Struthio camelus: one gene and its partners. The main gene of each other region encodes a partner of the protein of the gene in region 4 in a complex. Links are inferred from orthologs where the notes say so. Each region holds a gene or a part of one and is shown on either strand. Other genes may lie near its edges. The genes, in order: CACNA1S, CACNG1, STAC3 and CACNB2.

Evidence for each region.
Region 1: CACNB2 (region 4) and CACNA1S share a complex: the UniProt entries of both Homo sapiens proteins name them as parts of the calcium channel complex. The link is inferred for Struthio camelus from reciprocal best matches to the Homo sapiens genes CACNB2 and CACNA1S.
Region 2: CACNB2 (region 4) and CACNG1 share a complex: the UniProt entries of both Homo sapiens proteins name them as parts of the calcium channel complex. The link is inferred for Struthio camelus from reciprocal best matches to the Homo sapiens genes CACNB2 and CACNG1.
Region 3: CACNB2 (region 4) and STAC3 share a complex: the UniProt entries of both Homo sapiens proteins name them as parts of the calcium channel complex. The link is inferred for Struthio camelus from reciprocal best matches to the Homo sapiens genes CACNB2 and STAC3.

Annotation. Positions count from the first base shown.
Region 1 is NC_090965.1:2,384,865-2,392,608, forward strand, and holds the start of CACNA1S (voltage-dependent L-type calcium channel subunit alpha-1S), read left to right. Parts: upstream 1-4,491; coding exon 4,492-4,652; intron 4,653-7,744. UniProt on the Homo sapiens protein: Pore-forming, alpha-1S subunit of the voltage-gated calcium channel that gives rise to L-type calcium currents in skeletal muscle.
Region 2 is NC_090960.1:4,231,862-4,240,028, forward strand, and holds the start of CACNG1 (voltage-dependent calcium channel gamma-1 subunit), read left to right. Parts: upstream 1-5,144; 5' UTR 5,145-5,413; coding exon 5,414-5,654; intron 5,655-8,167. UniProt on the Homo sapiens protein: Regulatory subunit of the voltage-gated calcium channel that gives rise to L-type calcium currents in skeletal muscle. Regulates channel inactivation kinetics.
Region 3 is NC_090969.1:147,821-155,135, forward strand, and holds the start of STAC3 (SH3 and cysteine-rich domain-containing protein 3), read left to right. Parts: upstream 1-4,076; 5' UTR 4,077-4,156; intron 4,157-4,981; 5' UTR 4,982-4,982; coding exon 4,983-5,048; intron 5,049-5,452; coding exon 5,453-5,708; intron 5,709-5,833; coding exon 5,834-5,931; intron 5,932-6,091; coding exon 6,092-6,167; intron 6,168-6,260; coding exon 6,261-6,355; intron 6,356-6,438; coding exon 6,439-6,505; intron 6,506-6,726; coding exon 6,727-6,776; intron 6,777-6,862; coding exon 6,863-6,966; intron 6,967-7,315. Other genes in the region: R3HDM2 (R3H domain-containing protein 2), read left to right, coding at 1-39, 565-649, 2,298-2,641. UniProt on the Homo sapiens protein: Required for normal excitation-contraction coupling in skeletal muscle and for normal muscle contraction in response to membrane depolarization. Required for normal Ca(2+) release from the sarcplasmic reticulum, which ultimately leads to muscle contraction.
Region 4 is NC_090943.1:23,438,824-23,446,291, reverse strand, and holds the start of CACNB2 (voltage-dependent L-type calcium channel subunit beta-2), read left to right. Parts: upstream 1-4,208; 5' UTR 4,209-4,227; coding exon 4,228-4,326; intron 4,327-7,468. UniProt on the Homo sapiens protein: Beta subunit of voltage-dependent calcium channels which contributes to the function of the calcium channel by increasing peak calcium current. Plays a role in shifting voltage dependencies of activation and inactivation of the channel.

The DNA of each region.
Region 1 (7,744 bases), on a different chromosome or scaffold from region 4:
TTGGGGCAGCAGGGCCTTCCCAGCAAGGTCTAGAGAGGCAGCATGGCCAAGCTGGCATCGACAGCGGAGATGATGGGGTCCAACAGGCACGGTCCGGGGGAAGAACAGAGCCCCACAGGCACAATCTGGGTGGGGGGACAGGCCAACAGGCACCTTCTGGTGTGGGGAGGGGGAAGTTCAGCAGCAAGGTCTGGAATGGGAGGGGTGGCAGAGCCCTGCAGGCTTGCTCGGGGGAGGGACTCAGCCCAAGCACAATCTTGGGGGGACAGGGCCCATTAGGCTCCATCTGGGGGACACAGGGCCAGACTGGGGGTGGACAGGACCTCATAGACATGGTCAGAGTGGGGGGCACAGCCCAGCTAGCACAGTCTTGTGGGGACAGGGCCCCACAGGCTCGGTCTGCAGGGACAGGCCCCATCCCAAGGCCACTGTGCAGCCCAGGCCGGGCTGCGGAGCTGCCCCAGGGCTCGTGGGGCTGAGCTGCGCCCAGGACAAGCACAGGGCCCGTGGCGCTCAAGTGCTCTGCAGGCCCTGCGGTGGCAGGAACCCCAGCGGGAAGGGGCCGCCAGCTCAGGCTGGGCCCGCCCCCAGCTCCAGAGGGGGAGGGGGAGGGAGCAGGGCGGGGGCGCGGGCAGGGGCGGGGCCTGGGCCTGCCGCACCCCCCCCCCGCCTCCTGGCTGGCAGCGCAGCTCTTCTGGGGACCGGAGAGCCGGAGCCGGGGGGAGCTCTGGGCCCCACTCTCCCCAGTACGTGCCCCACGGCTCAGTTAGGGCAGAGTTGACTCAGCCCTGGCTGCAGGAGGGCATGTGCTGGAGGTCTGGGGCCGGGGCCTGCTCCATCCCCTTGTCCCCTGCCTGCCAGCCCTGGCTGGGCACCAGCAGGGGGATGTGAGGTGCCCCCGAGAGGCGGCCAGACCCGGGGGGAGGCTAGTGGCATGGCTCAGGCCCCTTCTTGCAGCGAAACAGCTGATTTGCTCTAACTGTTGGGAATGTCCCTCTAGAAGGAGTTAATCCCTTGCTGGGTTCTAGCCTGGCATGCCAGCCCCACTCCCTGGTCCTCAAGGGCCCCCAGCACATGGATAACATTGGAAGAGCTGCTGCAGGGACTCTGGCCACTGCTAAAGGTCCCCATGAGCTGCTGTGGCCTTGACTTTGGGTGTCACGTGCAGGAAGGAAAAGCCGTGGTTGTCCTGGAGAAGGACACACTCCCTGCCATAGTCTGGCCTTGTGCTCAGACAGCCCATAGGGTCTGTGACAGCTAGGTCTAGGTCCTACAGGAGCCAGGTGTCAAAGCAGGGAGGTACATTTTATTAGGCTGGGAAAAGGGGAAGCCTTTGGGAGCAGGGGGCACACACACATGTCTGTGCATGTCAGGAGATGTTTGCTTTCAAGGTCATATTGCTTGAGAATGGCTAGTGCAGGGACCATTTCTATCCCTTGCTCTTCAAGATAGTAGGGGAAAGCCTTTCTGATTTGGCAGGCCTGGGCCAATCTGGTTGCGCTCTGCCTCTGGGAGGCCGTATGTCTCTGCCCTGTGGAACACAGCTATTGCAAAGGGATTGGCTGCAGTGGTGGAGTGGCTCTACTGCAGTCCCTGCTCCCATGTTAACCCTTTCTCCTTCCAAGCTGAGTAGGGCTCTGTCATGGGCTTACTGTGTTTGGGACTACAGGCACTGACCCTTGCTAACGCCATGTCTTTGTGCAGGTGTGGTGAAGGAGTAGAAGATGAGCATGAAGCTTGTGAAAGATATGAGGAAGAAGAGCGAAGAGGTGAAGAAAACATGCTGGCCTTGGCCCCTAGCCTGTTGATGGAGGCCTCAGTTGCATGAGGAAGCAGCCTTCCCCTACGAGATACATAGGAATATATCCATTGAGTGGAGATCACAGAAAGAGTGATTTGCTACACAGCAAGTGAGAGAGGGATTGGAGCAGGAAAGCCCTGTCCTCAAGCTAGCATCTCCCCTCTGCTACCTCTGGCTGATTTGTAGAGGAAGGTAAGTGTAGTCCCTGCAGGTAACTATGCAGTGCTCCCCACCCTCTCCCAGTCCTTTTGTTATGTCTCAAAGCATGAGGGTTCAGCTTTCGTCTAACTCTGAAGTTAGTTTAATTAAGGTCACATGGGAGACACAAAAATGGTTGGCCTTGGCACCAGCTGTGCCATGCCTGGATGATGTGGAGGAGGATGAGCCCTGGCCTGCAGGGACCACTCTCTGGCAGTTTTTGTTAAAGCCATGTGAAGTCAGTGCTTGTCAGCACAGCCCCATGCAAAATACAGAGCACAGAAGGGCAGCAAGCAGTTCCCAACAGCTGCAGAGGGGTGTGTGGAAGAGAATAAATGAATCAGGTACATTAGAAGGGCACATTCCAGAGGTGTTTGAGCCCAACCTCCTGCTCAAAGTAGGTCTGGTTAGGTCAAGTTGCTCAGGGCTTTACCCAGTCTAGTTCAGATTATCTCCAAGGATGGAGATACAGAGTTCAAAAGTGAGTAGATCGTGAATGAAGGCTTCTGGAGGGGATCAGAGAGACCTTGAGTGTCCTTTCCAGGTCCTTGCTTGCAGCAGATCTCCCACCATGCTCTCATCCTCTGGGACAGCTGTTGCAGCATGAATCGAAAGGGAGATGTTTCTTCTCATCCCCTGCAGAGGCCTCTTGAGAAGGAACCAACAGTTTCCTAGCTCTAAGAACAGCCCTAGGGCAAGTTGGGGCAGACGCCATGCCAGGCAGCAGCGCCCACTGTCAGCGTTAGCATGCCAAGCACATGCTTGCAGCCTGCCCTCTGGCTCGCCACTAGGTGGACCCCAAATCCTTGTCGTTGATAGGGAGGACACAGTCCAGGAATGGGCGCTCCTGGCAGGGGCACAGGCAGAAGCAGAAATACAGCTCATGGCTTTCAGCAGTGCTTAGGAGGGAGGAACGAAGACCAGAGGAGAAACAGTGGCATGTTTGGACCTGCCACTGTGACACAGAAATGAGGCTGGAGCCCTGGGCAGGAATAAATTGACTCTGGCTATTTTTTTTGCATAAAATGCAGCAGAGTAGTGTAGGAGAGGGCGGGTTACTGATTTTGCACCTCTACAGTTGAGGCCTCCTCCCCTCCAGGAGTGTCAAAATGGGCTGGAGCAGCTGCAGGAGTTGCTCTCTTATGCTGTCTTCCTGCCATGGGCCACAAAGGAGGGAATGATTGTCTTCGCTTGGCACCGTGGCCCTCGGCACAGCCTGCTCTGCAGCTGGTGAAATGACCCTGCAAAACAGAGGCAAGGAAGCTTTGAGCAAGGCAGTGTGGTACAGTGGGCAGAGCTCCCCCTGGGACACGGGTTGACTTGGGCACAGCTGTCTGGTTACATTAGGCTGAAGCATCTCCATAGGACAGGGACAACATTTGCTGAGGGACATACCTGTAAGTAAGAAAATTTGTGTAACTATTCTGCTAACTCAGTCCCTGGATTGCAGGAAAACCCCAAGCACTGCCCTTCCTGGTGCCTCTGTTTCCCTTGTTGTGAAAAGGTAGTGAAAACCCCCTTCTGTCCCTATGTGCATTGACACCTCCAGCTTGGGAGTCCCCAGCATTGTCCGTATATCCAGTTGGGCTTTCTCAAGCCCAGCTGGATTTCCAAGACGTCCCTGGAGCAGGACACAGCCCACCCTAGGCTTATTGTATTCCTGCATGTCCCAGGCATGCCCCTTGCCCTACAAGCAGAATTGAAGAGATGAGGCTGACCAGGGGCTGTCTGAGGTGATGAGTGCCAGCCAAGGCATACTTTGGGCTAAGCATCACTCCCAGGAGCTCTGAGTTTGGGGTCAAAGTTCCTGTCTGTGAGACGTACCCATCCCCAGAGGTACCACAGCCCTGGGGTCACAGGGCCAAGGGCTCAAGAGACCAGGTTGCATCTGAGGGTCTCCACATGAAGGAGAAATCCTGCAGAGAGACAGGGCTGATCAGTTTGTGGGATGACCTTCCTTGAGGAAGTGTCCCACTGGCCAGAGTCAGGTTCTCCCTCTCACCCAAGAAGTGCAATTCAGCAGATGGGGCCACATGCGTTCCCCCAGCCAGCCCAGTCTCTCTACTTGGGCGTGGAAGGCCCAGGGAGTTGGGGAAAGAGGTGACCCGGGGTGAGGGCAATTTTCCTTGGGAGGGTGTGCACCTGACTCTGGGCAGCCCGTCCCCACCCCCCGCCTGGCTCGGTGGCATGCAAAGCACTCATCTGCCTTAGGATAAGCCGGGTAAAGAAGCAACAGCTGCTGGGGTCCTTTTGCTGCCTCGGGAACTGTGACAGCACCCGGGAGCCAGGCTAGTGTCTAATTTTAAACTCATGCTTTGTGCATTTGTGCATGCGTGTGCAGCCTCCAGCCCCCACTCCCCCATGACCTCCCCCGGTGCACAGAAGGGACAGGCTTAGCAGGAAGGAAGACCCAGAGGGTCTCTGGCTGGCCAGGATCTGGGGAAGGGGGACTTGGCTGTGAGGCAGGAAGAGGCAGCTAGGGGAGAAACACCATGGAGCCTGCATCTCCCCAAGATGATGCAAAGAAGAGGCAACAGAAGGAGAAGTCCAAGAAGCCAGTGCCACCAGCAGCCCCCCGGCCAGCCAGAGCTCTGTTCTGCTTAACCCTGCAAAACCCACTTCGGAAGGCATGCATCAGCATCGTGGAGTGGAAGTATCCTTTAGGCTTGGTGGGCTTGGTAGCGCCTGCATGTGCATGTCTGTGACCATGGGTGCTGAAGAGGAGTGCTTGCTGGAGCAGGACCCCTTGGGGCTGTTAGGCAGGCAAGTCCTCAGCACACTTTGAGTCTGTGAGTTGTCTCTGCTTATGCTATGGTGGTGCTGTTTGTGGTGGCTGTCTCATCAGGCCTGCGAGGGAGCAAGGAAAAGCAAGGAAGGGCTTGGGCAGCCCCAGCAGGGTGCACTGGCAGAAGTGACGGCTGTGCAACCTGGGGGCACGAATAGGCTAGTGGGAAAGATAGGGCTGAGGAGTGGACCATAGGGATCCTCAGCAGGGTGTTTTGGGGACAGGAGGGGACAGCCTGAGTGGCAAGGAATGTATGCATACCCATGTTTTGTGCTGGCTGTGGCTGGTAGGAGCTGCGCTGAGGATAAACAGGGGACAGTCTGCCAGAAGGGGAGAGTGATGGTGTCAGAGGAGGGGGCACGGGCCCTGTCCCAGAGCTGGGATGGGCCGGGCAGAAGAGGAGGGCCAGGATGGAGGAGCAGGTGCTGAGGATGCAGCTTGGGAGGACAGGCCAGCCTAAGGAAAGAGGGGCTTGGGAGATGGATACAGAGACCACGGTGAGCTGCTTGAGATGGCTGTGTGTGTGTGTCACCGCTTGCCCACTCCTGCAGCTACTCCCTGCCATGGCCGTGGGCAGCTAGCCAGCATCCTCTAAATCCCTGCCGACACCGTTACTGTCTCAATCTCCTTATCTCCTCCCTCTCCACCACTTTTGTCACACGTGAAGGCTTTCATGGGTGAAGCTGTTTAGAGAGATGGTATCTCTGTGTGCCCTTGGTTTAATTTACGGATGGGTTTGTGATGGTTGCTCTTTAGTTGGCCATGCTTTGACTGGGGTGTTTTAGCTTGGAAGTGGCAAAATGTCATGTTTCTGCCACCCATCCAGGAATAATTTTAGTCCATTAGACATGGCCTTGGTTGTTTAAAATACAGCTTGTATTTTGTGGAATAGGACATTTTTGCCTTAACGGGACAGGAAACATTTCACTTGGTTTCAACAAAACATTTGGGCTCAACTAACACTGATAGGATTTGGGGCATTTCCAGGAAATCCAGTCTTTCCATCCCAACTTTTCTTATTTCAGTTGCTGAATGCATCTAGGTGTTCCTGGCCTTGACGGGATTCTCCCAGTCTAGGGTCCTCTCCCCTCTAGGGCAGCTTGGGCAGCCCCACCCCACCAGAGCAAGCCTTCATCCTGTGCCTGGGGGCTGCAGAGCCAAGCCTTGCTAGTGGGAAACACTGCCTGCAGTGTGGTATATGTGGTGCTACAGGGGCACCAAAACCATGCGCCAGCACCACCACTGATGCTGTCCTGCTCAAAGCCCAGGCTGCCCATTTGCAGACATTGACAGCATGCTCACACCACCTGGCAATGCTTTTCAGGGCATGGAGTCTGAGCCCTCTTGTTCCTATGTGGCACAAAGAGGCTCTCTGACCTTTGCGGAGAGGCAGCAGAGCCAAAATTGGGGAATTCTCCATTTCTACTTCTCTTCAGCTGAAGAATGGGGTGTTTTGCACAGCACAGAGCTGTGTCTGTGTCTGGGTGCAGGGCATGGAAGGAACTTGTCTGTAGACCCTAATGGCAGGGGTAGAGCTGGAAATAATATATATATATATCTTCCAGCATACTCAAAAACATTTTTCCTGATGGGCCAACATATGCCAGAGCAACTGCAGAGCCCCACTGAGGGAGGCCTTTCCCACACTGGGGACGTGGGCAAGGGGCATGGAGGGAAGAGGTAGATGTTTCACCAGGAAGGCCACAGGTGCGGGTAGTCCTGACCTGTGGGAGATGGACGATTCTGGGCATCGGGTTTCAGCAGCACCACTCTTGTGCCTGGCTATATTTATATGCCAATGCACCTGCCTCCCCTCACTCAGGGATCAAGGTTTACAAGGCATGACGGGGTTGTTCCAGCTCCTGTGGGTTGTTATGAGCTTCATGGCCAGACCAATTGCCAAATGGATACTAGTGTGACCATTTTCTGTGGGGATACCTGGTGAATGGGATCAGGTTACACATCTCTGCTCTTTGGCCTCATCTCTACTGCATAATAACTGCACTGTCAGAGGCACAAAGCTGAGGCAAAGAGCTAGGACAGGGTCTTTTCAGGCAGCAGGAGAGTGCTGGTATTCCAGGTCATTTTGTAGTCAGGAGGACTTTTAAGGCAGATGGGTGAGTCTGGGGACCATGAGCAAGGCACTGAGTGCCTAATTCCCACTGTGAAGCTGAAGTTGGTTCCTTCGAATGCTGCATGGCAGGAGGCTGCTAGGGAGCAGAAGTGAGATTTGCAGGGCAAGGGGATGAGGAGGGTTTTGAGTCTCTGGACTCTATCAGAGACCCGCTTGCCTCAGTGACAGTACCTGACTCTTGGCTGGCTGAATTGTCCCACTGTGTATCTACCTAATAACAGTCCCAGGCTCATGGCCACTGGCAGGCAATGTGGGACTTGCCTACAGCAACCTGATAATAGAAGAGCACTGAGTCTCAACTTCACCTCTGATTGCAAGATAATTCTCCCTTCAAGGAGGAGGATGTGGCTGTTTTCACCAGAGCAGGGGAACAAGAAAAGGACTTCTGCAGTTTAGTGGCTGTTGGGGCAGGATGTGGGCCACGGTTCCTGCTCCTCTTTCCATTGCTTTCACCAACTTGCTCCATGATGCTGAACTGATCCCTACACTCTTGCATCCTCACAACCACATGGAAACTGAAATGAGTGCTGGCAAGGTGGACTGCTCATCTCACCCTGTCAGAGCAGGCAGGGAAATCTCTAGCCCTTGGGCTGTGCTCTGTTACCTGGGGCACAGAGGAGGGCAGCTTCTTCAGCTGACTTTAGTTTTTAAAGTATCATCAATTTGTTGGCCAGAAGGGTCCAGAAAAGGCAAAATAACCTGACTGTGACCAACACAGGAGGACACAACTGGCAGCAGTCGGTCAGCTCAGCAGGCCAAAATGGAGATGGAGAGAATATTCCTTAGTGCTCTAACTCCATGATGCTGGGTTAGATAGTAGTATAGC
Region 2 (8,167 bases), on a different chromosome or scaffold from region 4:
GAACTAAAATAAATAAAGGCTGTTCCCACATTGCTGAGCAAGGCTGTGGGTAAACAGTGATCCTCTGAGTTGTGGCTACCCTGCTGCGAACAGAAATAAATGAGATGTATCAGAAAGGGAGCTTTTTTGAGCCATGATGGAGTTCTGATGGCTTTTCTGTTTGGGAAGTGGAAAAGCCTCCGCTGAGGAGGATGTGGCATTTCCTTGGGAATGAGAAAAATAGTCAACATAGGAGGAGGTGCTGAACCTAAAAGGGAACGAAGAGTGCTCTGCACCTGTCTGTGAAACAGCTCATCTTACAGCAGCGGTCAGTTTGCTTCACCAGAATTAAAGAGACCACTTACCAAATAAGCGGGCCAAGAAAGGCTCTTCATTATTTTAGGAGAACGAACCTGCAGCTAAAACGTTCAGGCAGATAGAAGTAGTCAGTCCTAAAGAAGTATTGCCAGCACTGTGTTCAGAAGGGCTGCAGAGCTGGTGCCAAGAAAAGCCCTCGTTAGGTTGAACGGGTGTATCTGCCCCTGGTTATCCGAAGGAGTCTATTAAAAGAAAAATACACACACGCGGGGGCCCACCACAGCAGTGTGAGGTAGGCTAGGAAGCTTGACTATTGCTAAGGAGATCCCATTTTAAGTAGGCTGCTTGTATGGCTGATTTGCTGAAAATACATGTAAGCTGAGAGCAGACCAGGCCCAATCTTTGCCGCTCTAAATAGCCCTGAAATTTGGAGAGGTTTAGATTCAAATTTTGCGGCGCAGGCCCTCTCTAAATCTGCACTAAAGTAGTTTAAAAACATAGAAATATCACATAAAGAAAATAAGACAAGTGCCCTGGATTCAGCAGACTGTGGGGGGCTTTCCCTGCACGGCGCTGCATTAGCTATTCTCTTTCACATCCCCACACATGCTCAGTATGAATTTCCCTTCGTGTCAGCAAGGGACACAACAGACATTTGAAGACACAAGTCTAGCGACTTACTTGCTGCAGTATGTCAGCCTAGAGAAATGACAGCCCCTGCCAAAATGGATTATTCTTCATTTTAATGCATAAAAATAATTACTTCAGAGGCCTGTGCAAATATATAAAGCCAAAGAGATTGGCCCCCACAAATCCCTCTAATCAGGGGTGGTTTGTACTTACCTGATAATGGTCTTTCACATAGTTCTGCAAGAAAGGAACCGCAGAATTCGATTAACCTGGTTGTGGTAAATACTGGGTCTGTTCTGGAAGAAATATAGGAAAGCACAAATTTTGGGGAACAGACCCAAGCCAACGACTCTGCTAGGGACAAAAGAATGCCATAGCTGATCTTGAAACATTTAGCATTTTCTGCAGGAGAGAAACACAACCAAACACAACCATGTCTCTCACACTCACTGCTGCTAAAGTGCAACTAATTATAACCCTCCCTGCTTCCCAACAGGTCCTCATTAATACACTGTTTATATTTCATGGGATATTGATTTTTAAATGTAGCTCCTTGCCAGCTGAAGCAGGGAGCCTGCTGGAACCGTTCAAGAGAGGACTATATACGGCAGTCTTCTAGATCCGCAGGCAGGTTTTGGAGTCTTCTGCTCCTCTGGAAGTCAGTTGTGCTTCTGCATTTGTTAGACACTCACCCAGCCACGGAGCGGACAGTAGAGGCCACCAGGCCCCCTAGGGAGGCCAGTTAAACCTCCAAGGTGGGATAAAAGTTCCATGTAGATTTGGGAAAGGGGCTAAACCTTTTGGAGACAAGGCAAGTCTTTCAGAGCCCACACAGCACATTCTGAAGCCAAGCGGCTTCACCGAATCCCTGCCAGCTGTCCCCAAACACACCCTGAGGCTCTGGCACAAAGAGCAGAAAGCAGCACCTGAGTAGCGTGGGTACGTCTGCTCTTCTAACACATGGAACACTATCCCCACAAAGCATTTTCTCTCTCAGGACCACTGGCTCCAGCTTATGTTTTTAGGCCAGGGACAATGACTCACCTTAGCCTAGGTGACTTTTCAGCCTCCAGGGAAGCCTCTACATCTTGCACTGAAGTTCATCCAAGCTTTAGCTTGTTCACAGTCTCGGGTCCTCTCTGCAGAGGAGAGAGAGGGAAGGATGACTTTTCTCTTTATCTTTTTGCTTTAGTGTTTTCCTGGTTATTATTAGAAAAATAAGAACAAAACAAAACTGGGGGGAACTTATCCAGATTGTAGTACTTGAATGAGAATAGAAGACGTGATTCTTGCCAACACTGGAGGAGACACAAAAACCAGCAGTAACAAAAAAATTAATGAGTTCCCACCCTTTCAGTCCTTACAGCTTGTAATTAGTCTAAAGTGTGATCATTAGCAGCTGCTTTCTCAGCAACCAAAAACTTGGTTGCAGTTGCTTTCTCAGCAACCAAAAGCTTGCTTTGTGCCCGCACTTGAAAACATGCATTTCCCATGCTCAACTTGCTGAGGACCTGCGGAGTTTCTAGTGTCAAGGAAGTAAAGTCAAGATGCAACTCAAAATCGACTGATGTCTAGTGAAATTTAGCAAGAGTCTACTTTAAAAGAGAAGACATTACATTTTTAATGCATTCTTTTTCTGTTTTAAAGTCTGTTCCCTTTAGGCTTTTCTGCTTTCATGAGAACTCTTGGCTCTGGGTAAGAAAACAGAAATGTAAGTCTCCATAATATTTCTCTATGTGTGACATGATTGCAGTGGAGAGGTCTCTACTTGGTTGGACAGTCCTAACTTGCATCTTCCCCCCTTAGCAACAAGACAGAACGGGCTTTGCAGAACAGCCTCTTGGTCAGGTCCTTCTGAGGGCACATTTTAGTGCTCCAGTCTTGGATCTGCCTCTTTGCAAAAATAGAGAAATCAGTCTCTGTTACTCTTAGCATAAAATTTCCTTGCAAACTGATATAAACGACTCGCTCTATTCAGCGCCTTTCTCAGCGGAGCTGTAAGCAGGTGTTGTTTGGGACTGTTGTGCCTTCACCCTGATTGAGTCACGCTGTGCTCTGCCATGGGCTGAATGAGGGCCCGCAGCCAACCTACGCTGGCTATTTCCATGCTCATGGGTCCGGTTTCTGCACAGACTTTTTAAATATTTGGGAGTCCTAAATATGAGAATCCTTTCTGAATTGTGTGGCTGCCAAATTGTACATTTGTTCTCAAGACCTCTTCAGCTGCTTCAATTTGATCCCCTTTTATACTTGATATTCAAGGGTGGGGCGGTTTCTAACCTTTTTCGAAGACCAGCTCTGGAGAGATTTCCAAAAAGCAAACTCCGTTGGGGAACAACTCTTCAGGGAAGAGGTCACAGACTCGATTCAGACTATTTGACTCACTCCAACCATGGTGCGAAAGGGGCTCATACCCTGGCTTGTGCTGGTTTCTGCTAGCTCCTGAAACCCTATGAACATCGCAAGGGCTCTCTGATGGTTTGAAGCCCAAACCCTGCACATGGCACTCCCTGAAGGAGGATATGAGCTCTCAGAGCAGCATCGAGCCAGGGCAGAGCTTCTGGACAGCGTGGTTTCACTTCTCTACAGCTCGCTGGTCGCCGTCCGCGGCAGTGGAGCAATCCGCGCTAGTGGGCTGCAAACCAGCTTCCAACCCTTTTTCCCCCAGCTTAGCGCTTTCGATCAGCGAGTCTAAAGCACTCTGCTGACGTTTTACCAACCGCCGCGTGGTGAGCCAGCTTCCTTTGGACGTGCCGCTGCCCCCAGGTCCCCGGCCCCGCTCCTTGTCTCCTTCCCCTCCTGCCTGGTGGGTTTTCCCTTCGCTTCTTCCTGCGGCCATCACTGACAGGCAGATAATTCTTTTAAATCCTATTTCAGCTACAGTTATTTTGGATCATTATTTTTCTAACTCACTATTTTCTTTCCATTGCCCGCAGCTCCCTTCTGCCTTTAGTTCATTGCTTCAAACTGTCCTCCTTAATTCGAGACGACACCGCCGTACCTTTTATCTTGACACTGAACCGGGGTGTTCATGAAACAGCGCTGGAGTAGCTCTGCCATTATCTTGACACGATAACATGATATTTGCAGATTTCCGCTGACATTTTTCAAGCCATCGTCTTGACGTTCAGGTGCTGTCGCCGTCACCGGTTCGACATCGCAAGGGTAATGTCACCCCCACAGCGGCCTCGGCGTTGGCGTTATCAGGAAATTACTTTCCTGATCAGCTTAAAACATCAAAGGCAAGGAGAGAGGCCGGGGACATCGAGGCTTCGGGGCAGGGGAGTCGCTGCTCGGAGAAGGGGGGGTCTGCGGGCAGCGCCGCGAGGGCCGGGCGCTGGCGTGCGGTGCGCCTCGCGCCGGAGACGACGCAGAACGCCAGGGCTGGACAGAGAGGAGCCGACATCGGCCACAGAGGGCAGTTTGAAGGAGCCAGCGATACCAGTTACGATGAGCACCGAGGCAAACCCCGGCTGGTGGGAAACGAAGAAAGCGCTCCGGAAGGTTTAGGATGAGAAAAATGATTCAAAAGGCGCAAAAAAACAGGTGTGAGAAAAGCAATTTAGTGATTACGCCTTTTTCTTTCGGAAGAACCGGAGTGAGCTGTGAAAGCAAATCAACTTCACTCAGTAGTTCCCACTGTAAAACCAGAAAAAGGGTCGGCGGGGCAGGGGGGGAGAAACGCCAAACGGTTTTGTTCCAGCGGTCTCAAAGCACAAAGCGTCTCGCGCAAACTGATGAAATACGTACTTGCCGTACTTTATACATCGAACTTTGGGTATGACAAAATACAGCTCTCAAACCATCAGCGGCTTCAGAAGTGAACCAAACCGTTTTCCTTCGGCCTGAACAAGACATTTGGGTTAATTCAAAAAAATAAACGTTCTCGTTAAAAAGAAACCACCCCCCCCCCCAATTGCTTCAGCCACAGCCCGTTTATTTTCACCGCCCGCAACGGGGCTGGGGCGCTGCAGCGCCGTCCGGCTCGAAACTTCTCCTTACAAACGCTGACGCGAGCCCGAGGCGCGTTGTGGGCTTTGAGTCTACCCTCCCGCTATTTACAGTCAGGCCCAGCGCTATCACAAACCCACATGGGTGGTTTTTTTTTTCCCCCCCCCCTCTAACCTAGCCGAAAAAGTCAACCCTTCCCTTCATGCCTATTTCTGGGCAGGCTGCAAGACCGCAGTCCCCTCGCGGCGGCTCTAAGGCCGGCTCGCGGGCGACCGCCAGCCAAAGCCGAGCCCGCCGGCCGCAGCCGCGCGCCCCCCGCCGCTGACGCCTCCCAGCAGCTGCCCCGGCGGCCGCCGCGCCACCTGCTCGTCCCCCCCCCCCCAACCCCTCCTCCCCTCCAAACGCGGCAACGCTGACGTTTGAAGACGCTCGGACGCGCCGGGGGGGCGTCGGGAGATCAGCGGCCCGGCGGCTCCACGCCAGCGGGCCCGGCCAGAGGCCGGCTGGCTCGCGCCCGCCCGCCGCGCCGAGCAGCATGGACGAGAGCAAACCCCTGAAGATCCGGCTGACTTTCTCCGTCATCCTGGTCGGCGTCTCGCTCCTCTTCGCCGCCGTAGTGACTGACCACTGGGCCGTGCTGAGCCCCAAGGTGGAGGAGTACAACGCCACCTGCGAAGCGGCTCATTTCGGGCTATGGCGGCTCTGCACAAAGCGGATTTACGTGCAAGAGCGAGGCGCCGGGGAGAAGGGCTGCGGGCCCATAAGCCTGCCGGGAGGTACGTGACGGCGCTCGTTCCCCAGCCGCGCACAAACCGCACGAGAGAAAGCGTCAGCGGTGACTCCAGGCGGTGTTTAGGAGGTTACGGCACACGGCAGGAACAAAATACGGTGTCTCTTCCCCCCCCCACCCACCCCGGCTCTTAATCTGACAGGGCGCTGCACGCTGCTTCGCTTTCGTATCACCCTGCAAACGCCGCTCGCTCTCATTTCTCGTGCTGTGCATGTGCGCCGCCGCGTTGCCTTGCCCATGTATTTTTAACCATATTTTAAGCCGTCGGTCCCCTGCGCGGCAAAGGGAGCGGCGGGTAATCAGGGAAAAGGATCGGACACGGTGGAAATCACGGACTGGATGGAGGATATCGTGCCGACATCTGCCCAGGGTCCCACGGCACGCGGGCAAACCCACGCCACCTCCGACGAGCGTCGGCGGAGGGAGGATTTGCAGGACTGGGCCACCCTGTGTGGCTGAAGCAGGAGGGTTTCCTGCTTCAGCTGGCTATGAAGGAACAGCTTGTTCATGACAGTTATTAAGTTATCCACGGGCTATTTCAATAACAGTCATTGCTTGGGGCTGCGAGCAGGGCTGCGGTTTGCCAGCTTCCAAAAAAAGGCTGCAAACGGAGTTAGAAATGATTTGTCACTGCCTTCCTGAGCCTCCTTACCTTGCAGCGAAGGAAAGCCCGGGCTCTGCAGCTGAAAGCAGCCTAATCGGATGCATTTCTTCATTGCAAGGTATTCCACCGAAATCAATAGGAAGGGTGGCAGAGGAGCGATCCTAGCTGGTTTCCAGGAAGACCCTTACATTCCCGTGGTAAAAGGAGCTCGTTATATGTTTGCTGATTGCAAAGTCAGCAACATTCACGCAGCGTGTACTAATATACCCTAGCCGTGACTGAACTACGCTGCTTTTTGGGAAGGCTGATAGGGAACTGGCTTCTTTCCAGAACAGAAATAACAGGATTGCCTTCACGTTAGCCTCGCTGTTTGAAATGAAATATGTATGTTAACACATATTTGAAGAGTTCTTATGAAAATCTTGCTGCCTGTGTTTAGTGTATATTCTCTATGTTACTGCAATTCTTTATCTGTTTGGCAGAATTATTTATTCTGAAGCGAGGAGCTAGCCCGCAGCATTCAGATCTGCCTCTAGCCAAATTTGGGAGCGCGTGATCTGGAAACTTAACGTCTCTCGTGTAGGCGCTTACATATTCCTCGCTGTAGGCTTTGCTTTGCACGTGGACAAAAACTCACACAAAAGGAAAATAATAGAAATTGGTTGATAAATGCAAAATTGCACCAACTGCTGGATAAATATAAAACTCATAAATATCCAGCTGTCTCTGGAAAGCAGATTCACAGGCAGGGCAGCCCGAAAGGGGCTACTATCTTTGACAGACATCAGCATGTGCTTGCACAGACGTTGAATCATGTCCCCGCGCTGCCTTTCTAATGGGCGCAGTAAAGGAACGGGTAATTGTGGAGCTACCGAACCGAGCCCTCCACGGGCAGCTCGGCCACACCATGGGCAGCTTGTCCGGCTGGTGTGCTTTTGTGGTGTTGAAAGATAGTCTAGAATTTGGCTGAAGTCCTGGGTCAAAATAAGCTTCTGAGGTTTCCAGCAGCCTTCACCTTATGAATTACATCCTCACCTCTTATAAAATAAGAATTAAAGCCCTCATTTTACTTACACAGAGGACATGGCATGGTGAGGTGACCAAGAGCCCAGCCACCGAGGACGGCAGGCTGCTGCCACGCTGCCTTTGCAGGTCTCTCCTTAGGTTGATTTCCCAGTTTCGGAAAGATGTCAGCAGAGAATCACTGCGCTTGTGAAGCCTGCGAATGACCAAATGTGGCGTAAAAGAGCGCATAGGTGGAAATCAGTTTTCCTGAAAATCATGAGACATAATCAGACATTACTGCTGTCGGTGGAAAAGAAACATAAGAATTTATCACTGTATTAATAACCATTTACTAGTCACTCTTAGGAGGAAATGGATGGCACTATTAATATTATTTATTAGTTTTTGAGCTTAGCGCAGTGCAAAATGTGGAAGATGACTTGGCTCATAATCTACAAAACAGGCCTGTGATTTAAGCAAAGATGTTTAAAATTTAACAACACTCTTCAGAGGATGTTGACAAATTGGAAAAGGGTTTGGCATGCTGCTGTGAGGAATAAAAATATCAGGGAGGTGACAGTTAAAACTTGGCAGATTCAGATTAATGTAGGGACATTTTAAACTGTGATCGATGGACCATTGGAGCCATTTACTAAAAGGTGTGACAGAGACCTCTGTCACTGCCAACCTTTAACTCCAACATAGGTGTCATCCTAAAAAGCATGCTCTTGTGCAACTGCAAGTTGGGTAGCACGAGTGATGCTCTATAGCCTGTGTCTGCCACAAGCAGGTTAAATCATTCCTGTTAAATATATGCATCTGAATTCAGGCAGCTGGAGTCTGACAGGAAAATAACTAGAGCAAATGAGTTAACCAAAAGGGTGTCACAT
Region 3 (7,315 bases), on a different chromosome or scaffold from region 4:
CCCCTGCTCCACAACCAGCCTAACTACAGTGCACACCAGGTAAGGTTGGGCCAGACCCCCACCCCTCTCTTCCTGTCCTGGGAGCAGACCAAGACCCCCAGAGCACCCCTCTCTGGGCAGAGCCCAGGGCTGAGCAGGGTAGTTCAGAAGTGAGCCTGACATCCCACCTTGCGCTCGGGTGCCCCTGGATTGGGTAGCAGGTTGCCTGCCCCATGCTGTTACCAGCCATACAGCAGGGCTGCCATCATAAACAGTTTTCCCTGGAGCCTGACACTGTGCTGAAATTTCACCCTGCTCCCAGCTTTGCCCAGGAGCGATGTCAGCCCCAGGTCCTTTGAGTGTCCTGGAACCATGCCTGTGCCCTGGTCTCATCCAACCTCCCCAAGCCACCATGGCATCATCCCAAAAGTGCCGGGAGTGCAAGGATCATCCAATGTCTCCATTCCCCTTCACAGCTGTGGCCTCATCATGTTTGGTCTTGTCTGCCCCTCCCAGGATGCTCTGTCGGCACTGTGACGCCACAGTGTCCCCTCAGGTGACATGTTACCATTTTTACTCTTTAAGGGACAGACTGGAATGAAACATGGAAATCGGGGCAAGAGACAAGCCCTCAAGTCGGCATCCACTGATCTTGGGACAAGTGATGTAGGCAAGTGATCCTCCTCCAGCAGCTCCCCCATTGCCCTCCGCCAAGTCCCTGCTGCACAGGTGCAGCTGGCACTGGCAGAGACTCCGGTCCCCTCTCTGCTCACACTGACATCCCCCAGGATCCATTGCTGGGGGTGGTTGTGGAGGACCGTTCCTGCCCTCTGCCCCGCTCCCCCGAAATACCCCCGGAGCCCATGCAAGGCCTGGCTGGGGGGGTGGGCGCAGAGCCAGTCCTGGTGAGCTGTACCCCGTGGGAGGGCAGCTGAGGAACCCGGTTAGATGCTGCCTGCACTGACCAAAGCTTTTGAGGAAGAGTGGGGAGATATTTCTGGGGAGTCAGTGATGAGCACCAGGACACCTGGGCCCTATTCCTACCTCTGTGAGGCCTGAAGTCTGGCAGGGTGTGGAGCAGGTGGGGCTGGCAGGCAGAACTCCTGGCAGCTTTTCCTAGTTGTCAGCAGAAAGCGACTGTCCAGGCCCATGAGATCTTATTCCTACCGTTGACTTCCTAAGTGACCCTTCTCTTTCATGCCTCAGTTTCCCAGTGGGGGTAGGTGTTGCACAGTCCCCATATTTGTGGGGCTTTGGGATCTTCCATGGGCAGCTGCCGGGCTGAAATCCCCAGTGGATTGTTTCTCTCCAAGGAGGAAGGACTCCCCCTGTTCCTCTCCTCAGGGCAGGAGTCTCCTCTTGCTCGTGTCAGGGAGGGGAGGAGAGGCACAGGACTGGCTATTCCCCGCAGCAAATGCAGGACCCGCTAATTGGGCATGAGCCCGACAGGCTGGAAGAGAGACAGTCTTCCTTGGCTCTCTGGAGGCTTCAGAGTTGTTGTCTCCCATGTCACCTCTGTGTCACCACCACCAACGGCAGCTGTTTGCAGGGGGCCCTTTAAGAGTTGCTTCCCGGCGAGCTGGCCCCCTCCCTGCCACAGGGAAGCAGCTGGCATGTTTGTTACATGCCGTGTTAATATTAGCAAAGAATCCGTTTAGCCAGGCCTCTGCTAAGCCCCAAAGCTGGAGTGAAGCCCCAAAGAGCTGGAGCCAGGAGGCAGCAGGGGTGTTTGGGTACCACAGAGCAGAGGCACAGAGGTTGACGTGACACTGGCCTGGGCGCAGGAAGGGATCCTCCTCGTGACAAAGCACACAGGGAAAGGTCACATTCAGCGTGCAACTGCCATCCCTGGGGTAGCCTGCCTGGGGGCAGAGGGCAGCAGTGCTGGGTTAGGTCCCCTCCTGGTACCCAGGATTAGGATAAGAAAGCAGGAGAGAGCACCCGGGAAAGCCCTAACTGGAAAGCCAAGCCCAATCAAAGGGATCAAGGAGGGCTTGGTGCTGCTAGAGCCTTGGGCAAACAGAAAATATCTGTCTCCTCTTGAAGCGGGGCACATGGGGACCAGGGTGGGAGTATCAGAAATGATTGGGACAGGCACTGTAGGGACCAGGAAGATGGGGGCAGTTTGAAGGGGAAGAAGTGACTAATTAGAAGAAATATCCCTGATGTGGGACCAGCTTAGCAAAGCTCTGCTTTCATGGGCCAAGTAGAGATGACTGCTCCCATCCCAGAGCTGGTGAGGAAACCGGACATCAGCTCCCACCATGCTGTCACCACCCGAGGTCCTGTGGCCAACACATGCTATCTTTCCACTGCAGTTCTTGGCCGAGTGCTGGAGGTGACGGACCTGCCCGAGGGCATCACGCGGACAGAGGCTGACAAGCTCTTTACCCAGCTCGCCATGGCTGGTGCCAAAATCCAGTGGCTCAAAGAGACTCAGGGGCGGCGTGGAGATGGGGGCGGTGGGGACAACAACGGGACTCCAGAGAACGGCAGGCACACTGACCTTGCTGCCTTATACACCATTGTGGCCGTGTTCCCCAGCCCGCTGGCCGCCCAGAACGCCTCCCTCCGCCTCAACAACTCCCTCAGCCGCTTCAAGCTGCGTGTGGCCAAAAAGAACTACGACTTGCGGGTGCTGGAGCGTGCCAGCTCGCAGTAGGGCTCATGTATGGGCACAGAGCACACTGGACTGCGGGCGCTTCCCTCTGCCTTCTCTCTTCCTTTCTGCCCTCCCTTCCTCTCACCCTCCTTCCTGGATATATTTATATGGACATAATTAAGAGACAAGAAATTGATTTTTTTTTTTAATTTTTGGAGTGATGCCCATGCCCGCCCACCCTACCCTGTGTATATTGTTTTGTTAAGCACTGTGTTGAACCGCACATACAGGTGTTGATTGGTATGTTCACTGCACATTTTATTTAATCTGATTATTATTTGGGGTTTTTTTTTTGTTTTTGTTTTATTTGAGGGGGGGGTGTTTTTAAATATAAAAAGAAAACTTGTCCGTCACTTTAATGCTGCTTTCCCGTTCTCTGCTGGCGCCAGCGCTCGGTGCAGGCTGGCAGCAGGGCCTGTCCTGTCCCCTTCCTCAGGGTGAGATGGCAGTCAGGGCATACACAGGAGTGCGTCCCGGCACGGGGCCTGCTCCACCCCAGCATACGCAGAGGGTGCGTCCTCGTTGCTCTGCGGAGGCTGGGAGAGGAGCACGGAGCATTTTGAGCTGGGGCTGGTCACCCTTCAGATGTTCATAGCCTCTTCTTCCCAGCTGCCGGCCCCGGGCTGCCTGCGATGGCAAGGAGGGTATGCCCCCAGCTACGTTCCCTGCCAGGGTGAACACATTTCTCCTGGGTGAAGGGGAGCTGCCCTTGAGCTGCTAGGTGTCCTCCTACCGCAGGGGTACAGGAGTTGGGCTGGCACCAGCCTCGCCATGGCGTTGCATGCGGCAGCCCTTGGAGCTTCCTGCGGTGTCCAGAGCCAACCTTGGAGCATGGGTGCAGGGGGAGAGGTAAGAGCTGCTTGGAGGGTGTGGGGGGCCTTGGTGCAAACCCTGCCCCTCTGCCACCCACAGCCAGGCAGGGACATAGCTCCAGGGGCTCTGGCACTGGGGGCCCACCCAGCTCCTGGGATCCAGCCCCTGCTGCGGGGCAGCACAGTAGGGGTCGGGTCCCCAGCTCGCTCCTCAGTGGCTGCTTCCTGTGGGGCAGCGGTGAGCGTTGAGCTGGTGAGCGTTGAGCGCGGGACCCTTGGCGGCACCTCTTCCTTCCCGCCTGCAGTGGCCTCCAATGCGAGGGCAAACAGGACAGCAAGGCTGGAGCGCTCAGCATGCCCCCGCGCTGCTGCTGCCCCATGCCAGGGGTGGGAGGGTCGCTGTGACGCCCAGCAACCCACTAACGCAAATAGCCAGCAGCTCCTCTCCACCCCGCTCCCCTCCCGGCTCGCGCACGGGCTCCAATTTCTCGGTGTCAGCCTCCGCCAGCGCTCAGCTGTCGGTTCCCCTCTGGCCTGTCACTCGGGTGCTCCGCAGCGCTGGGCAGCTGCCCCCTCCCTGCACACCCGGCCCTGGGGCTGGGGGCTCTGTGGCCCAAGGGGCCTCGGCGCCAGCCCCCCGGCAGCAAGCCCGCCACCAGCTTTGCGCGGTGTTTCATCACGGGACGCAAGCTCTGAACGTGGTGTAAGTGCAAAGCGCGGCTCCGCGTGTGGCTCCCCTTACCCAGCAGCCACTGACCCTGCTGGGCCCCTGCGCCACTGCTGGACCCCGGACCCCCCAGACCTCCCTGCCGAGCCTGTGGCCCCAGGAGTCCCCAGCCCCCCCCCCCCGCTGTCTCCTGCATGCTTGTCCTGTCGCTTTCCAGGGAGGACGGGGGTCTTGTGTTAACGGTAGCACCAAAAATAGTGACGCCTGGGTGGAAGGGCTCTGAGGATGGTCGACAGACAAAGGTGGCGTCAGGTGGGTTTTGGGGGTGCAGGAGCAGATCTGCTCCCTTGGTAGCACTGGGTTTCCATGGAAGAAAAGGCAGGGCTGTGCCCTGGTGCCAGACAGCGCCATGGGTACTCTTGTTCTGGCCAGCCAAGTGTGGCACCATTTGCCGTTTAATCTCGAGACGGAGGTGTCTGGGCAGAGACGGGCACATGCAGGTAGCTCAGGGGCTGCTGGCAGCCACATCCGCGAAGCAGCAGGGACGGTGAGGAGCAGCGCTGTGGTGCTGGGCCGGGAGCAGAGCCCACCACGTGCACAGCCCCTGCAGCAGGGCTGGGCAGCCTCCTGAGGGGCCAAGCCCGGCAGCCCCCCGGCAGTGGTCTGGGCCGGTGCTGGGGCAGGGCAGCAGGGAGCTGGGTGCAAGTAGGGCAGAGGGAGGCACTGGCCCGGGAACTGCTTTCCATCCAGCCAGGTCTGATCCCCGGGGGCTGCCGAGGCCACAGGCCGCTGCTGCCCTGGCTGAGGCTCTGCAGTGGGGGCAGCCCCAGTCGAGACGATGTCTTTGTCTTCCCCTTGTAGCATGACAGAGAAGGAGGTGCCAGAGCCACCAGCTTCATCTGCCTCAGGTGGGAAACCCAAGAGCCGGGTAAGTGGATGCCTGCAGATCAGCTTGGGTGAGAGGGGGAATCCACCTTCCCCACATGGTCTCTGCCTCAGGCCCAGGACCCTCTGTGGGGCCAGGGGTGCCCTGGTGGTATCTGCTTGAGTGGAGCACTATATGGGCATTGCCCAGCCTAGCTTTGCCCCAAGGTGCCTACATCCATGTGGTGCCCAGGACTTGCAACCTGCCCCTTGTGGGGGGACCCCACTAGGCAGAGAGAGGGTCCCTGTGCCCACCACACTGCACCCAGGACATCTGGGTTCTCCCCCCACCTGGTGAGGGAGGTTGTAGGTCAGAGCAAAGGGGCTGGGAGCTGGGCACCGGCTCCTTCCTGTTTTCCTCGCCCCCTGCGCCTGCAGTGCGCCCTGCAGCCTCTCCTGCTCCAGCAGCTGCAGAAGCTGAAGCAACTTTTCCGGCGAAAGCCCAAGGAGGAGACGGCACCGGAGCCACAGCCGAATGGGGAGCTGGTCAGCCCCTCCGGGAGGCCCATCTACTACATCTATGAGGACGAGGAGGAGGAAGAGGAGGAGGAGCCCGAGCCTCCTCCCGAGCCCCAGAAACTTGTCAATGACAAACCCCACAAGTTCAAGGATCATTACTTCAAAAAGCCCAAGTTCTGTGACGTTTGTGCCCGCATGATTGTCCGTGAGTCGCGGGGGCACTGGGCTTGGGGCCACAGGCTGGGGGCCAGGGCTGGGCCAGGGCTCCAGCCCTGCCACGCCTGCAGCCCTGGGGTCACATCATCTCTCTCCCCCCCCTCCACCCACCAGTCAACAACAAATTTGGCCTGAGGTGCAAGAACTGCAAAACCAATATTCACCACCACTGCCAGTCCTACGTGGAGATGCAACGCTGCTTTGGCAAAATCGTGAGTGCTCATGCCGGTGCGGTCCCGGCCCTGTGGGAAGGACCCGGGGGCAGCACCACCAGCTGGGCATCTGCCCTCCAGGTCCTTCGCGCCCACCCATTGCCCCCTTAGCTCGCCAGTGGCAGGCTGTGCTCTGACCCCCTCCTCCTCCTCCTTGCAGCCACCAGGCTTTCGCCGAGCATACAGCTCGCCCCTGTATAGCGACCAGCAGTATGCCTGCGTCAAGGAGCTGCTCTGTAAGTACTGACTTCATGCCTGGGGCGGGCGGTGGGGGGAATCTCCCCACACCCCCTCACTGAGCCCCTCTCACTCCATCTGTGCCCCAGCAGCAGCCAACAGGAGCGACCCAGTGTTTGAGACCCTCCGGACGGGCGTCATCATGGCCAACAAAGAGCGCAAGAAAGGGCAAGACGACAAGAAAAACGTGAGTGCAGGGTGGGCCTGTTACTCTGAGCCGGCCTGGGCGCCTGCCCACCCCTCAGCCCCTGACTGCTCTCTGCCTTGCAGCCGCTGGCAGCTATGATGGATGAGGAACCCGAGGCCATGAAGGCAGCTGGGGGCAAAAGCGAGGGCGGTGAGTGCTGCGAGCAGGCAGGGCTGGGGCTGCAGGGCTGTGCTCCCCCCGAGGGTGCGGGACGGGGAGCCCACTGGGGTGGGCTTCACCCCGAAGAGGGGCCCTAAGTCCAGGTCTCGCCCCAGGGCTCTCTGCAGGCACGGGAGGTCCCCAAGGGCAGGCTGGTGCTGCGGTGGGGAAGAGCAGCACAAGAGAGGTGACCCTTTTTCTCCTGTTTTCAGGCACCTCCGAAGGGGACAAGAAGGCGGAGAAGAGCACAGCAGATGACAAGGTAGCCCTCTTCCTCACCCCGTACCCAACGGTGCCCGGGCTACCCCCGGCCCCCCAGCCTCTGAGCCCCTCTCTCCTGCCCCCCAGAACAAGAAGCCACAGCAGGGGATGCGCAGCGGCTATCTGCAGTCTCACTACTTCGTGGCGCTTTATCGCTTCAAAGCCCTGGAGAAAGACGACCTGGATTTCCCGTGAGTTCCCAGCCAGGACGGGGGCGTGCGCTGGGGAGGGGGGTAAGTCTTCACCTCAGCAAGGCCCTCGGGCCCAGAGGGTGCTGTGAACGAACAAGGGCAGAAATCAGCAGTGCTGGCTGCGGTTTGGGGTTTGTGGCTTTTCTGCCCCGATTAGCCGTGCAGAGACAACGAGCCCTGGCTCTGGCCGAGCCACCTTCCTCCCCAGCTTCCAGCCTTTGTGCACAAACCGCATTTCCGAGGCTACTGCTGTTTTACGTGGCACTGCCGATTTCTTGCACCCCAAGCTGAGGCCAAGCTGCTCACGCAAGGGACCCGTCCTGCCCATGAGCCCAGGGGCTGTGCGCAC
Region 4 (7,468 bases):
CTGATACAGAGTGGTAATAGATTCCTAAGTGAGCTTGTCTAGATATTAGCTGCATGTTTCTGTTTGGACTTGTCTTGTGAATGATAAAATATAAAAATAAGGGGAATCTCTTTAGCTTTCACTTTATCAACCAGACTGCAATTAATCACTGGAGAAGAAAGTGTACTCTTTTCCAAGACCTGAAACCCAGGTAACTGAGTGTATTCTTGTTTTTCGTTGATAATGAACATATCAGCTACAAAGCATTTCAAGCAGAAGGTGGCACAGAGTATTAGGTGGCCAGCATTTCTTTTTAACTGATCTTCCTAATGAATTTCTTCTATCAGGGCTTTAAGCATATGCTCAATCACGAGTATTTTAGCAGTTTTGCAGCAATCATTGTAAGCTCACATGCTTATATTAATGCAAGTGTTTAATTTTTAGCTTTACTTTCACAAATATCAGTCCAATATCCTAGGCCTATTTTTGCATGCTCAGGTCATGGTCATAGACTAAATCAATCCTGCACTGACTCTGCGTGTGTGCGCTAGAACACCGTGCTGGACATAGACATTCCTGTATTTGGGGTAAGGCAATTAAGCATGCAATGCAATACAGTGCTCCTCGCTCTAGAAGAATATCTAATCTCTCAAACAACAAAAAAGCAATTTTGGCACCCAAACAGCCTATCTTCTCTGTCAGCCTAAGGGTTTTTTAGTTTTTGTTTGTTTTTATTTTTTGTTTGGAAAAAAGAGCTTATCTTTCTTTATGTCAGTCCTCTAACATTTACATGTTTGGAAAAGTCCAAATAAGCATGCACAGCACTTCTCCGTTGCAGATAAAAGTGTAAAAAATGCAGCACAGTGGTTTTCTGCTGAGAAGTGGTTAGGCAGAGCAGGTTGTTTTCCCCTTGAGAAAGAACCAGTAATTTGGAATCTGTGCATATTGTTTTTACACACTGACCTTTCTCCTGGAGTAGATGTGGCCAAAAACAGCATGCGGGGGGATGCCTGCATGTATACGTGTTCAGCTGAAGGATTTCGCACTGCACAGTTCAAGGTTTTAGAACTCTGCCCAACTGCTAAACCCAAGGAGTAGAACAGAGTAAGATACTTAAAATTATTTGCCTAGATAAATGTCCTAGCCACTCATTATATCAAAGCAATGAATAATAATTGTTGCTAAAGAAAAGCCAGGTAGCATATTTTTGATCAAGAATGAAAATAAAATAAACTTAGAAATCTGTAGGTGATTTGAGTGTTTGAGGATTTTTGTTTTTTAGGGGAAAACTATAAACCACAGTTCTCTATATGTAACTAGGGATTTCTATAGGCAGTGAGCTTCCTCTTGTTCATTTGTGCCTTAAAAGCTTCTTTCCTGGTTCCCTGCTTTCTAAAGCCCCTGTATGTGGGTATATAAACAAGCAAAATCACTACCTTTCTTTTTTTTATAGAGGAAAGAAAAGAAGAAAAAGTAATCAGAATGGATATAGGACTTAGCGAAGGAAAAATGAATTTCATCTGATATATTCAAGCTCTTAATTTATGAGAGAGTAGAAATATCCTTTCAACACACATGCACAATTCATGGTTTCAGAGCCTGTAATGCTCCAAAATGATCTCTACTACTCTTAAGGAAGAATAGAATACTTAAAAAGAAAAAAATCTAATGTTAGTTATATATTCCCTACACAACGAAAAAATCAGAAGGCAGTATGAAGGACCACTGTTACATGAATAAATAGCTACCAGTCTTTTCTAATTCTCTCCTATGTGTGAGATAGCATAGACAGCCTTTGAAGGATGCCTTAAAACCTGCCAAATCAAGACTATACTGAATCATGGTGGAAGACAATATGCCAAGATCAGGGAATCTTCCCTGGAGAATGTCTTAGAATAAAAGAACAAATAGTTCCACAGATATTAAGGTGTTGGAAGTCAAAGCTAACCTCTTTGAATGCTCCTCACCCCCTACCCCCTTAGCAATCTTAAAAGAAACAGGAATGTTGTGTTAAGGTCTGTTGTGAAACCTCACTTACGCATTAAACTTCCTTAATTATTATGATGGTCACAAACAGTAACTCCATTAAAACGATCTAATCTGGAAGTGACAAAGATATAAATAACTACTTCAAGGCCTGCATTAGAGGGCACAGGATGTATTCTTCCCCTCAACCATGTAAGGAGAAAATGCGTTTTTAATTACAATCATTAAGAGAACATTTGGAAGCATTCCAAGATATAGTATCCAGTTTGAAGGTTCTTTAGCATCTCTACTGAACTATTTTAAGGAAATGGAAGCATGTAAAATAACATTCTTTTTGCTTAAATTAAGGTTCTCTTGTGCCGTAGACAACAACTTGGGTAAAATTCTAGAAATGATTTTTGAAGAATAACATGACAACTTTTCAAAATAAAAAAAAGTTGAGTTTTTTGGACAAGTGAAAGTTCTCAAGCTTCTTCAAACCTCAGAGCACATCTGCTTGCAGGGAAAGCCAATTCCTTCCAAAAAGCAGAAAGTTTCTGCAGGACATGTTCACCATTCATATGGACCATGTGGTAATTCCATAGGGCTAAGCTAATTAAGTGAGAACATTCAGCAGCCATTATGAAAAACTGGAGGTAAATCAAGCACGCAATCAGGAGAAAAGTTGAAAGCATTTCTTGAAGCTGAACTGGCTTTTCTGTTTTTGGTTTGTTGTCTCTACGTTGTCTCCTTTTTCTATATGCAACTATTGTGCTCCTGTTAGTTTTTGTTGTGACTGGAAGTATGCAGACATATCTGGCTGCCCAGAGTTTATGCAGCGATTTGTCGTTCTTCGTAACATGAAGTGATAAAAGATCTCACAAACAATCACAAAGTGATCTGGAAAACACAAGTTTCTCTCCCTTGTTGTCTACAGCATCGCTAGGTCCAATCTGAAGAGGACAACAAGAGGTAACAAGTCTATCTCTATAAAATCTAGTCTGACTACAAATCTTGGTCCATCGAGTGCTTATGCGGTCAGAGGCTGTAGGCTGTATCATGCCAGGTGAGCGTTGCTTCTGAGAAATGAACGGTAGATCTTCTCAGGGGTGGGGGCTGTTTTTCCTGGGTCAGGATTTGAACAGACCTTTCAAAAGTCTCCTGTGGGGTACATGATAACCGGATTAAAATTGTGCTGCTGCAGGTTTTATAAATATAGATAGTAGGCTTTATCTCACCTGCTAGCTAGGAATTACTCAGCCCTGCCTCATGTGCCTACGGGACTCTCCAAGAAGTACCGGAAGAAACCGTATCAATTGGACAGAGCTTCCCGTCTGAAAAGCGCCGATTTGTTCCCTAACAGCAAACGTATCCCGCGCCTGCCTTCGGCTTCGACACGAGCTGAGACACGCGACGTCCTGGCTAGGGACCGGGAGCGCCCACCTGTGCGGGGCGGCCGGGGCAGCGGCACGTCCCCTCGGCTCTCCCCGCCGCAGCCGGCCGGGGCGGCGCCGCTCCGGCGGGGCCCCGCGCCCGGGCCGAGCCGGCGGGCAGCGGCAGCCGCGCGCCCCTCCGCCCCTGCCGCTGCCTCGCTGCCTCGCTCGAGGGCAATGCTAGCTGTAAATAGCAACTTCTCTGACGGCAGGCGGGGAGCGGGCTCGCTCCCTCCGCCCCAGCCCCCCTTCCCGGCCGGGGCCCCGGCACCGCTCAGACCCCCCGACCCTCCCCTGCCCTTCGCGCACCGCCCCCTCCACCGAGCCCTCCGCGGGGCCGCCGCCGCCAGGCCCCGGCGCAGCTCCGCGCCCGCGGCCTGCGCCCAGCCCTCGCCCTGCCCGCGGCGCAGCGGCCGCGCAGCCCCCGCCCGGCCGGCGAGGGAGGGAGGGAGGCGCCGCCCCGCGCCCGCCGCCCGGTGCCTCGGGGCGGGGGGGGGGGCGATGCTCGCTGTCACTTTCCCTCTTCCCCACGCGCCGCCCCCTGCCCTCCCCCTGCGCCCGGCGGCGGCGGCGGCGCCCCGTCCCCCGGCGCTGCGCGCTCCCCGCCGGCAGCAGGCAGGGCCGAGCCGAGCCGAGCCGCGCCGCCGCCGCCGCCGCCGCCGCCGCCGCCGCCGCCGCCGCCGCCGCCCGCGCTCCGTCCCCGCCGCCGCCGCCGCCGCCGCCGCCCGCGCTCCGTCCCCGCCGCCCGCATGGCCGGGCGCTGAGGGGCGCCGCCGCCCCGGCCCGGCCCGGCCCGCCCGGCGCTGCCCGCCCAGGGCCCGGCGCCAGAGCTGCCCCGCGCTCGTCTCCGATGGTCCAGAGCGACATGTCCAAATCGCCTCCCGCCGCGGCGCAGGAGGTGCAGATGGAGCTGCTGGACAACCCCCTGCCCGCAGCGGCGGCGGCGCAGGTACCGCGGCGGCGGCGGACCCCGCGGCCGGGCCGGGCCCCGGGCGGCGGCGGGCGGCGGGCGGCGGGCAGCGGGGCCGGGGCAGGGGCGGGGGCGGGGGCCGGCGGCGGCGCTCGGCCGGGCCGGGCGGGCTTGGCGGGGGTGCAGCGGCCCGGGGGTGCCTGAGCTGCCGCCGGAGCAAATGGGGAAGGGAGCGACCGGGCTGCCAGAGCTGTCTGTCCTTCCACTTCAGCTCCCCGCCGTCAGAAAAGTTTGACAGCTCTTCTGGAGAGCCCGACCGTTTAATTACCGCACACAGTGGGGTGCTCTGTGCCACAGGGGCTTTGCAGAGCGAGTAGCCTTTCAGTTACCCAGGGCGTACCTAGATAAGAAAGCGTTGCTGTTGAGGCGCTCGCTCCTCCGTGCATTTGTTGCGGGCTGCGGTTATTTTTCCCTCCCCCGGTAACCTGCTGTGTCCGGCCGTGATGCTCCCCGCGCTCTGCTGCGCCCTGCTCACCTGTTGCACGGGCAGGAGCCTGGCGGAGAGGGGCAGGCCGTGCGCGCCGGTCGCGGCACCGCGCTTTGCGGAGGGTGCCGGTGCCCGGTGCCCTGCGGAGCCCAGCTGCGGCAGCACCGGGCAAAGGGTGCTGTGAGAGTCCTCTGAAATTGTACCAGCTCGGGCCGTGTGCGCTGCATGCGGGCTGGACGTACGGAGGGTGACAGGGAGTAGGTGGTAGCAGGCTTGGTGAAGACTTTATATTTTGAAAGATGGATCCTGTTTAATATATGAATGTTGCATAATATCTCCGAGTTTGCAATAGTTGGCTACACAGACTTAGGGAGCTATTTTTAAACCCGGTAAAAGGGTGGTAAAATATGATTGTGTGCGTTTTAAATTACAAACATACTTGTTCTTGTTAGGACAGAGATTTGGATTTTTTTTCCTTTCGGGGTGGCAGTTTTATTGCTGCTGCCAAAGCTATCTCTAATCCTCTATTTTCTTTGGAGAAAGTGGTCTGGTTTCATCACAGAAGTGCTTGATTGCCACAGGAAAACGGTGTCAGTCTGTCAAAAGACTCGCTAATTGATCTTTACTTACTGAGGATTGCGAAGAGCGGAACAAAATTCAGGCACTGAAATGGAGACTAGGTTAAGTTAAAAAGAAAAAGTATCTCTTTGGATGTGAATTTGTCTGCAGTTTCTAAGTGTGGAGCAGACCTTTCAGTAGGGCCATTTGCTTTGCCAACTTCTCCAGAGACAGCGGCGGTGGAACTAATTTCTGACCTGCAAATACCTCCTTTCTTGTCTCTTTTCAGCCCTAAGAACAGAATGGGCAACTGTGAAATCATATGGTGCCTCTCTGCTGTGGCGAAATGTCAAATAGCGATCATAAAGTTGAATCTCACCCCTCCTTTTAACTAGATAAAGACTCTCTCTCTAGAGGGGAAGGATAGTTGCTAATTCTTGCACTTTTTATGTTTCAGGTAAGGTACTTATATTCTGTTCTATTTAATTGGTTTCTGAATGCCTACACCAAAAAAGGACCACTTCTCAAGACAGTGATAATGCAGCTTTTCGGTTCAGGGAATAATTTTCAGTTTTCTAAACCAAAGTCAAGTTAGGCAAAACAAGAATCTCATCTTCTGCGTATGTATATGTTCCAGTCATACATAAACCTTGGATGTGGAAGAAGTAAGATTATGGAAACAAAAGATCCCTTTATCTGAATAATAATATTCAGTTAATTCCTTTGTATGTAGTGCATTGAAAGACAATTATTCTGATCTGAGTTTTTGCTCCATTAACGTGATTTCTAAAAAATCAATATTGTAAAATCTTGCTGCTTTAGAGTGTACTCACAGTGAGAAAGAGAAGCTTAATGTGAATATGTGAATCATCAAGTAGATAGCCTACAGGTACTTCAGTTAGGCCCACCATTATCTTTTTCACTAAGGTGCTTGAGTATTGATCCTAGAAACATTTCATGCCAAGTAGCGCATCAGAAAAAAAAAGGAAAAACAAAAACATGCGAGTTTACGGAGTGATATCACTCCTAAAAGTACTCTCTCTGAAGTGCTACTTCTGGGAATTATGATTTAGTGAAATATAACTGAAGAGCCTTCGTATACTTGTAACAAGCTTGAAGATTTCTCTTCTCCAAGAATTTTACTTTTGCAAAGCAGAGAGTTTCTTTTAATCTGGCTGTGCACCATGGTCAATATATTGGCTCGTACCCTTCCATAGATTTTGGCCAAACTTGTCCAGGCTTGGCAGAGGAGTGAATATATTTAACAATCTTTAAGAGTAATTACTTCCACAGTGTTAATTATGTGAACAGTTCTTAGATAGCCTCTGTGTAAACTCTAGTCCTTATTTTTGTAACCTGTTTTGCTAACAAGACGTGCAAAGGGAATAAAATCCCTGTAGGCGTTGATCCTGACAATTATACTGTCCTCTCCCCGAGGAGTTCCTTGACACAGAGGCAAGGTATCTATGCGTGTTTCTGTCTTACCTAATATACTGAGGCTCTTACCTCCATGCTACTGTAAAAAGCATAAGTACTCATTTTGATCCTAGTCCAGGCAGGGTTGTGGTAAACTTTGAGATGTCCAGTCTTATCCAGATGTATGCGCATGTTACTTGTTACACTGTGGAGTCATTCACAGTGTTGATGTGTAAGTCAATGCAAAGTAGTCGTTGTAGGTGTGACTCTTTTGTAATAAACTCAGCATTTGATTTTCAGAACTCATGAAGCGTGCAAGCTATTGAAATGCTTCGGAGTGATTTAAGATCAGTAGCTGTTTTTCTGAATCAACTCCATTTCCCTTTTTAGCTCTTTATTTCAGGAACTTCTCAAATCTACAAATTTTAATCAGAATACTCAATTTAATTATTTTAAATAACTCAGATGCTATGCTCATTTTTTCTTCATATATTGTAACATAGCATATTAATACTTCTCATGGTTCTCATGGTCCCGCTCCTTCTGTTTTCTTTTCCTCTCATTTAATTATATTTTCTGATCCTGTTTCAAAGTCCCTTAGTCCCCAGAAATCATTAGATTCAGTTTCTGTTTCTATTTTCTCATCATAGAGGTTCCTGTGTTGTGTCATTGGAACAATCTTACCAAGTCAGATCAGTAATTTATATGGGATGTTTCAAA